Linked DNA regions of Macaca fascicularis. The protein of the gene in region 2 purifies or fractionates together with the protein of the main gene of each other region. This does not show direct contact. Links are inferred from orthologs where the notes say so. Each region holds a gene or a part of one and is shown on either strand. Other genes may lie near its edges.

Region 1 (4,123 bases), on a different chromosome or scaffold from region 2:
AACAAATCCGTTGTGTCATAAGCAATACTGATGAGCAGTGATCTTATAAGGCAAAAGAAATCACCGCCTTGGCCGGGCGTGGTGCTCATGCCTGTAATCCCAGCACTTTGGGAGGCCGAGGCAGGAGGATCACCTGAGGTCAGGAGTTCAAGACCACCCTGGCCAACATGGTGAAACCCTGTCTCTACAAAAATACAAAAAATTAGCCGGGCCTGATGGCAGGTGCCTTAGGCCAGCTACTCGGGAGGCTGAGGCGGGAGAATCGCTAGAACCTGGGAGGCAGAGGTTACAGTGAGCGGAGATCGCGCCATTTTGCACTCTAGCCTGGGCGACAGAGCGAGACTCCGTCTCAAAAAAAAAAAAAAAAAAAGAAAAAAGAAATCACGGCCTTGTTCTGCCTTCTGGGGCAGCATGGAGTGAGATCACAGCGCCTCAGAAATAACTTTGAAAACTGCGACTGTGCTTTACAAAAAGATACCAGTATTATTAAATGCTGCCCCTACCTTTTAAAAATCAAACTCTAGAAAAACCACTCACCTGTTTGGCCTCTCCGGCCCCTACCCCTCCCTGCCCTCAACTGCAGCTGTGCGCAGCCAGTTGACGGTTTTCCTTAAAGGCCTCGGGGTGCTCGTATCTTCTTCAGACGTTCAGCCAAAATTTTTAGAGTGCGGCTAGGGGGAAGGGTAGCGCACTCTGAATTCATTTAGCTCCATCGTTGAAGCCCAGGTTCCTAGATCAGGGCACAAAAATAAATAGAAAACACAGTTTCTGGAAGATTGTAAAACAGTTAATTTTGCAGGTGCTTCGGCATCAGTGGTGGCGATGAATGTAACATCCCCGTCGGAGGGGGGGGATAAGGTTCAATCACAGATGAAATGGTTAATACCTTATACGAAATTCACGGCGAAAAATCCTGAAACAGGACATTTAAATTCACTGCCGAGGCTTGGGGGTGGGGTGGGGAGCAGGGATCGGAAACGACGCTAGTGGTTCTTAAATGCGTTTTTACTTGGGAATGCCGGGCAGGGAAAGGAAAGGTCATCGTCTGTTTAATTTCCACCCCCAGCTCTGGACTTCCAGCATTAGCTCGCCGGGCCTCAGCTGTTGTACACACACGGCGAGGGGGGAGGGGAGGGCGGAGGCGCGGAGGAGGGGCCGGCTGGGAGGAATCTGGGCAACCTGCCGCGCATGCGCCTTTCCGGAGCAACAAGTGGGCTCCACAGAGGAAGTGTAAAGGGAAGGGGGGGAGAACTGGTGCAGAGCATGGCGGTGACGTCAGCGCTCCGCCCGGGCGGCATCCCGCGCGGCCAAGCCGGGGACAGCGCGAGCCGCAGCCGGAGCAGGAGCGCCGAGACGCGCCTCCGGAACGTAGAGTAACAATCACAACCCCACATTCCGGGCGAGCGCGAGCACGAGCGGGAAGGGATGCGACCCGGGCGGAGGCGCCGCGCGAGCGCCCTGCAACCAACGTGAGCGCCGCCAGCCGCGGCGGCCCGGGCGCCGGCCAGGCCTGGGGGCGGCGGGAGCCTGCGTGCGTGCCCTCCTCTCCTCTGCTCTCGTGCGTCCTGGAAGCAGTGGCCGCGGCGGCTCCCTCCGGGGTGCAAACCCAGCCGCCGCCAGCAGAACGGCCGACGCTGCGAAGGGGAGACGGTCCTTTCTCGGCTGCCACCCCCTCCCCCGGTCCTCCGGGGAAGCAGCGGCTTCAGCAAGATTGGACCCGGGCACCGGGTGGCACTGAACCCTCTAGCCCTCGCCCCAGGGGGCCCGTCGGGGAGAGGACGCAGCTTGTAGGGGGGCCCCCGGGGAGAGGAAGAGACAGCCCCTTTCGAGCTTCCACGAACCATCCACTCCGGGGAGGGGGCCAAGAGGCAACGGCGGCCAGCACCGGGCACCCTCGCCCCCTCCCCTCGGGCCGGGAGCTTCCAACCCAAGTCTGCAGCACCAGGAAGAAGGCGCCTGAGCTCCCCTCGCGACGAGACAACCGCAGTAGGAAGTGGGGACGAAGAGCGGGCTGAACCCGTCCGCTGCCCGGGCGGTGGAGCCCCCACGGCGAGGCGCTGCGCCGGCGGTGGAGACTCGCGTTCCCTCCAGCCCCTGGGGCAGAACTTTCTCGCCCCCCCTCCTCCCTCCCCCGCAGTCGGACTCCCTCCCCAGCCGGCCAGTCCTCCCGGAGGAGAAGGCGTCGCGGAGACAGCCCGGGCGGGGGCCTACCTTCCCCAGGGCCGGCATCATGTCGGCGGCGCAGGTGTCCTCGTCCCGGAGACAATCTTGCTACCTGTGCGACCTGCCCCGCATGCCTTGGGCCATGATCTGGGACTTCTCGGAACCCGTATGCCGCGGTTGCGTCAACTACGAGGGCGCCGATCGCATCGAGTTCGTGATCGAGACCGCGCGCCAGCTGAAGCGGGCGCACGGCTGCTTCCAGGACGGCCGCTCCCCTGGGCCGCCGCCGCCCGTCGGGGTCAAGACAGTGGCCCTGTCGGCTAAGGAAGCGGCGGCGGCGGCAGCAGCAGCAGCAGCGGCCGCGGCCGCCGCGCAACAGCAGCAGCAGCAGCAACAGCAGCAGCAGCAGCAACAGCAGCAGCAGCAGCAGCAGCAGCAACAACAGCTCAACCACGTTGATGGTTCCAGCAAGCCTGCGGTGTTGGCGGCCCCGTCTGGCCTGGAGCGCTACGGCCTGAGCGCGGCCGCCGCCGCCGCCGCCGCCGCCGCCGCCGCCGCGGTGGAACAGCGCAGCCGCTTCGAGTACCCGCCACCGCCGGTGAGCCTGGGAAGCAGCAGCCACGCCACGCGGCTGCCCAACGGCCTGGGGGGCCCAAACGGCTTCCCCAAACCAACACCGGAGGAGGGACCCCCAGAGCTGAACCGCCAGAGTCCCAACTCGTCTTCAGCGGCGGCGTCTGTGGCGTCTCGGCGTGGGACGCACGGTGGGCTGGTGACGGGGCTGCCCAACCCGGGGGGTGGCGGAGGTCCCCAGCTTACTGTGCCCCCCAACCTGCTGCCGCAGACGCTGCTTAACGGCCCGGCCAGCGCCGCAGTACTCCCCCCACCCCCGCCCCACGCTCTGGGCAGCCGTGGGCCCCCAACGCCTGCTCCCCCAGGGGCTCCTGGGGGCCCCGCTTGTCTCGGGGGTACCCCGGGTGTATCGGCCACGTCGTCCTCCGCGTCGTCTTCGACCTCTTCGTCGGTGGCAGAGGTGGGCGTGGGTGCTGGTGGCAAGAGGCCCGGCTCGGTGTCTAGCACAGACCAGGAGCGCGAGTTGAAGGAGAAGCAGCGCAACGCCGAGGCCCTGGCCGAGCTGAGCGAGAGCCTGCGCAACCGCGCCGAGGAATGGGCCAACAAGCCCAAGATGGTCCGCGACACGCTGCTCACGCTGGCTGGCTGCACGCCCTATGAGGTTCGCTTCAAGAAGGACCACTCGCTGCTGGGCCGCGTTTTCGCCTTCGACGCGGTCTCCAAGCCCGGTATGGACTACGAATTGAAGCTGTTCATTGAGTACCCCACGGGCTCGGGCAACGTGTACTCCAGTGCGTCTGGTGTGGCCAAGCAGATGTACCAGGACTGCATGAAGGACTTCGGCCGGGGCCTATCCTCGGGTTTCAAGTACCTGGAGTACGAAAAGAAGCACGGCTCCGGGGACTGGCGCTTGCTTGGGGACCTGCTCCCCGAGGCCGTGCGCTTCTTCAAGGAGGGCGTGCCTGGCGCTGACATGCTGCCCCAGCCCTACCTGGACGCCAGCTGTCCCATGCTTCCCACGGCGCTGGTGAGTCTGAGCCGCGCCCCCAGCGCACCCCCGGGGACCGGGACCCTGCCGCCTGCGGCGCCCTCGGGCCGGGGCGCAGCCGCCAGCCTGCGCAAGAGGAAGGCCTCTCCGGAGCCCCCGGACTCAGCCGAGGGCGCGCTGAAGCTGGGCGAGGAGCAGCAGAGGCAACAGTGGATGGCGAACCAGAGCGAGGCGCTGAAGCTCACCATGTCCGCCGGGGGCTTCGCGGCGCCGGGGCACGCGGCAGGGGGTCCGCCTCCGCCGCCCCCACCTCTGGGACCTCATTCTAACCGGACCACCCCACCTGAGTCAGCCCCCCAGAACGGTCCGTCCCCCATGGCCGCCCTCATGTCGGTGGCA
Region 2 (4,273 bases):
GTTCATAGGGCTGTCAGAACTTCATGGCACACATGTGTTTGCCATAATTTGCTTCCAGTTTGACTACAAATCCTTGCTTTTGATTATGATGACATTTTTACAGGTAAGTAAATCTGAAGTAACTGGAACTTTCTCTAACAAAAAAATGACAACTCACTGAGAATGAAATATGTAAATGTTTAATTTTAACAAGCAGTTACAAATCGTAACAGACAAGAACTCTTGGATCTAAGAGACCAAAATGTAATTTCTTACACAACAAAGTTACAAGTTATAATCGTTCACTAATTACGTGAAATTCCGGACTTTGACACATCAATCAATAGATGTTCCAACGTTCCCCCTAGAGATCCCAGTTCAAGTCTTAAATATTTCATCTGCTGAAGTTTCCTCAGAAAAGGCTCCTTTTCCCAGGGTTTTTTAGGTTTCTATTTTTGCCCCTTCTCCCCCTAAAAGAAGAATAAAGGAAAGTTGGGGAAATCAGAGAATCCTGAATCTTCGTGAGCGGTGAAGTTAAAGAGTCACCCTCTGGGCCTGGTGGGGATAACTGCATCTGCCTGGCATCAAGGTTATCCGCCGCCTGGTCTAACCCCAGACCCCCTTGTGCACCTGCCCTTAAGCACCAAAAACTGAACTGCTCGAAGAGAACCTACAGTAGATAGGAAAACTAGTAACTGACTGCAGGCTCGACAGCAGTCTCGGTGATTCCTGAAAATCCACAACAGGAAATCTAACGATCCTCCATCCCTCCTGGCCATTCATCAAAAGCAGACGAGTCACAGCCATAGGGAGGCCGGTGGCTGAAGACGAAATGCCAGCACCACTTTTCCTCATTTAGAACTGAGTTTTCTCCTTCCATAACCAAGGACAAGGAGCAACGGGAGGGAGGTGGTTGAAGAGGGAGGGGGCGGGTAATATGTCCCCAAGTTTCAGACAGTAGCGGGTTAGAAACGAGCGAAAGCCACCTCGCTCTTCTGAGCTACCTCGGCTGCCAGTCCCCGGGATCACATCCGCAGCCGATCGCCAAGGGTCCGGCCTACACAGACTGACCCGGGCGTTTCACCTGGTGCCCGACCACGGCCCTGGCGCCCGGCCCAGGCTGCCAGCCTCCTTCCCCTCCCCCGCTTCTTAGGGAACAAGGAGGAGACGGTGGCAAACGCACCCAGACCGGGGGCCAAGGGGAGACGCCGGCGCGTGCTGGGAGGGGCATGAGTTACACCCGCGACCCTTGGAACTTGGAACGGCTTCGCCAGCCCTGGCGGGCGCTGGCCCCCAGACGGTGCCACTGGAAGCAGGCGGGCGCCGCGATTGGCCGCCGCCGGCTTCACTCGGTGGGCGAGCCCTACCGGCGAGGCGGAAAGGAAGTGGCGGCCGCCGCGGCTTTGCACCAACCATGTTCGGCCAGCGGGCGAATGTCACCCGGCGCCCGGAGCCGGGTCGGAGGGCACGGGGCGGGCACTCGCGTCCCCACCCCGCCGCGGCCCGCGCCCCGGGACCCCGAGGGGACGCTGGCCCCCACGGCGCCGCTCGGTCCCCGGAGGCTCCCCGCCCCCACCTCGCCCGCTCCGTAGCCGAGGCGGGTCAGGCCCAGCGCGCGAGGCCGGCCGGGGGCGCCTGCGGGGACCCGGGGGCGCACGGCGCTAGGCCGCGGCCCGGGCGGCTGACCCCTCGGCGCGGTGCCCTCCCGGGACGCGCCGCCCGAGCCCCTCGCGCGCCGGGACAAGTGCAATGACAAAGCCCCAGGGCCCGACCGGGCGCTGGCCGGCGGGAAGGAGGACGCGGCGTCCCTTCCGAGCGGCGGCGGCGGCGGCCCAGCCCCCAGGAAGCAGGGCGCGTCGGCCAGGCCCGGCGCCCGGCCCGGCTCGGAGCCCGCCGTCCCGCCCGGGCCGCTGGCACCCGACGCCTGCGACCCGACTCCGAGCCCGGCAGGCAGGCGAGCCCCGGGACCGCCGCGGGGCGCCCCAGCAAGTTTCCTCTGGCCGTGGCTGGAGGCGCTCCTCCCGGCCGGGGCGCGGGCGCGGGCAGCCGGGCGGGCGGCGGTGCCTGCTTATTTACGCTGGAGGCAGCCTGGAGAGACGCCGCCGCGGGCACCGAGAAGGACCCGCTCCCCTCCTTCGGATCCGCTGACGGCGGTGGCTGCACACACACACGCGCACACACAAACACGCACATACACACAATTTTGTTTTAAATGAGGCCCGACTCCAGCGGACCTGCACCCCCACACACAACACCTGGGGCGCAGAAGCACACACAGCAGGTCTGTGTCCATGGAGCCACCTCTCCGCATCTGCAAATCCAAAAGTGAAATTAAACCTCCACCAACCTCCTCCTCCTCCTCCTCCTCCTCCCTCTCTACCTCCTCCTCCTCCTCGCAGCCTCAGCAGCCCCAGTAGCAGCAGCAACAGCAGCAGAACCTGCTTCCCCTAAAATCAGGCGATCCATAATTGCGCCGACTGTTCCTCCAAAAATCGGTATTAATATTTATGAACCCCGGCATTTTCCGTCTGCAAAACATCGTGTCAAGGCATCAGGACACGCATACACACACGGCCCCCCACAGTCCCCAGAAACATGCCCTCGAGAGAAACACACGCACAGTCACAACTATTATTTGAAAAATGTTACCTCTCAGTGTGCTTTTTTCACGCTACCAATACAATTCCGCAAGGTATAAGTGTTGCTAGGGTGTGTGAAATGGAAATGAAAGCCCGTCAGTTGAATAATCGCAGGAGCAAAACTAAAAGTTACTCCCCGGCTTGCCTGAGAACAGTCCAGATCGAAAGCAAAACAAGGAGAGGAAACTGCGAAGAGCCGCGGCTGGAAATCCCCCCACCCCCCGCCCTCCTCCGGCCGCGCTCCCTCCCTCGCCTCCCCTCTCCGCCCTCCTCCCTCCGCCCTTCCTCCCCAGTGTTTGTTTCAAGCTTGTGCAACCAGGAGGTGGAGGCGGAGGGAGGGCGCGAGCGGCCCGGCCGGGAGGTGCGGAAGTTCGCCGCCGCAGCTCATTGGCGGGCAGCGCCGCTTTCATCATTTCTCGGAAAAGTCAATTTCATTTTCGCTTCCCCAGGTCGCGGCGGCGGGAGCAACAAGCAGCGGCTCGTGAGTCGGTGGCTCGCACCCAGGGGCGCCCGCACGCGCCGCTAGAGCGCCCGAGTCGCGGTCCGGGGTGGGGGGCGCAGGCCCGCGGCGGTAGGGGAGGAGGGCGGGCACCCGACTGCCCATCCTCAGGGTGGCCTGAAGGTTCCAAGAGGGCGTCCGGCGAAAGCACGGGGCTCCGACCATCCGGTTAGCAAGGCTGGTGTGACAGCTTAGAGCGAATGAAAATTCGTTTTGTGACGCTGACCACTTGCAAGGAATGAAAGGAGCAGTCAACCGAAAGGACAGCATTGCTTGCGTCCTTACCTAATTGGAACCTTATCCGTGGTTGAGGGTGCCACCATTGGAGGGGCCGCCCCGCCCTCTGACACCACCTGGCACTCCGCTCCACTTGGTAGCTAGAACGAAAAGGAGGCCCATCCCCCAGTAAGTCACAGCTCACGCCAAGATGAGTTATGGAGCCTGTGCGACCGAAGTTTCTTCATTGCAGGGCGAGGTGGACAAGGGTGTGAGTTACTTTGACTTCAAGACGTCTTGGTGGCGGCTGGTTCTGAGAGAGGCTTTATACTGGAGCACTTCCAGCAAAATTCGGCTTGGGCCTCCTTAACTCAACGGCTGGGCACCCTTGGCCTCGGTTTTCAACCAAAGCCTAAGGCCTCAGTTTTCAAGGCTGTAAATGGAAATAAATGAGAGAAGGTACAGCCCGCGTGACAGGTGCAGCAAGCAATGCAGCTTCCTTGGGACCTACCCTTTGTGGTTCCTTGCTTTAAAAAAAGTATACATTCACATTTAGTTAGACCTGTTTCTTCCTCGCATGCAGTTTCATCAGTCTTTTCCCAGACTTCTGTATTCAACAGAGAAAGTTCCTTCCTGGGAGACCATAGCTGTTTGTATGTAACCAGTTGCCTAAAAAAAAAAAAAAAAAAAATGAGAAAAAAACTCCAACACCTCTCTGTCACAAAAGTATTGAATTATATAGACTGGAAAAATGGAAGTATCCAACACCTGTGTGGTAAGGAAATAGCTAAGGGTTCAGGATTCTGTTTTGTGACTCTGGTCTCAGAAATAGACCTCACATACACATTATTCCTTATCCCCTCTATTGTAATATTCACTTTTTTTTTTTTTTTTTTTTAAGAGACAGGGTAGGCTGGGCGTGGTGGCTCACGCCTGTAAT

The links. The genes of interacting proteins can lie anywhere in the genome.
Region 1: the proteins of IRF2 (region 2) and IRF2BPL purify together in Homo sapiens (affinity purification with mass spectrometry; 3 studies listed by BioGRID and IntAct, counting the BioPlex papers as one, with this or other methods). This does not show direct contact. The link is inferred for Macaca fascicularis from reciprocal best matches to the Homo sapiens genes IRF2 and IRF2BPL.

What each region holds. Positions count from the first base shown.
Region 1 is NC_088381.1:144,973,323-144,977,445, reverse strand, and holds the start of IRF2BPL (probable E3 ubiquitin-protein ligase IRF2BPL), read left to right. Parts: upstream 1-1,314; 5' UTR 1,315-2,230; coding exon 2,231-4,123. UniProt on the Homo sapiens protein: Probable E3 ubiquitin protein ligase involved in the proteasome-mediated ubiquitin-dependent degradation of target proteins. Through the degradation of CTNNB1, functions downstream of FOXF2 to negatively regulate the Wnt signaling pathway.
Region 2 is NC_088379.1:189,258,905-189,263,177, forward strand, and holds the start of IRF2 (interferon regulatory factor 2), read right to left. Parts: upstream 2,801-4,273; 5' UTR 2,629-2,800; intron 2,508-2,628; exon of another isoform or gene 2,360-2,507; intron 2,293-2,359; exon of another isoform or gene 2,235-2,292; intron 1-2,234. UniProt on the Homo sapiens protein: Specifically binds to the upstream regulatory region of type I IFN and IFN-inducible MHC class I genes (the interferon consensus sequence (ICS)) and represses those genes. Also acts as an activator for several genes including H4 and IL7.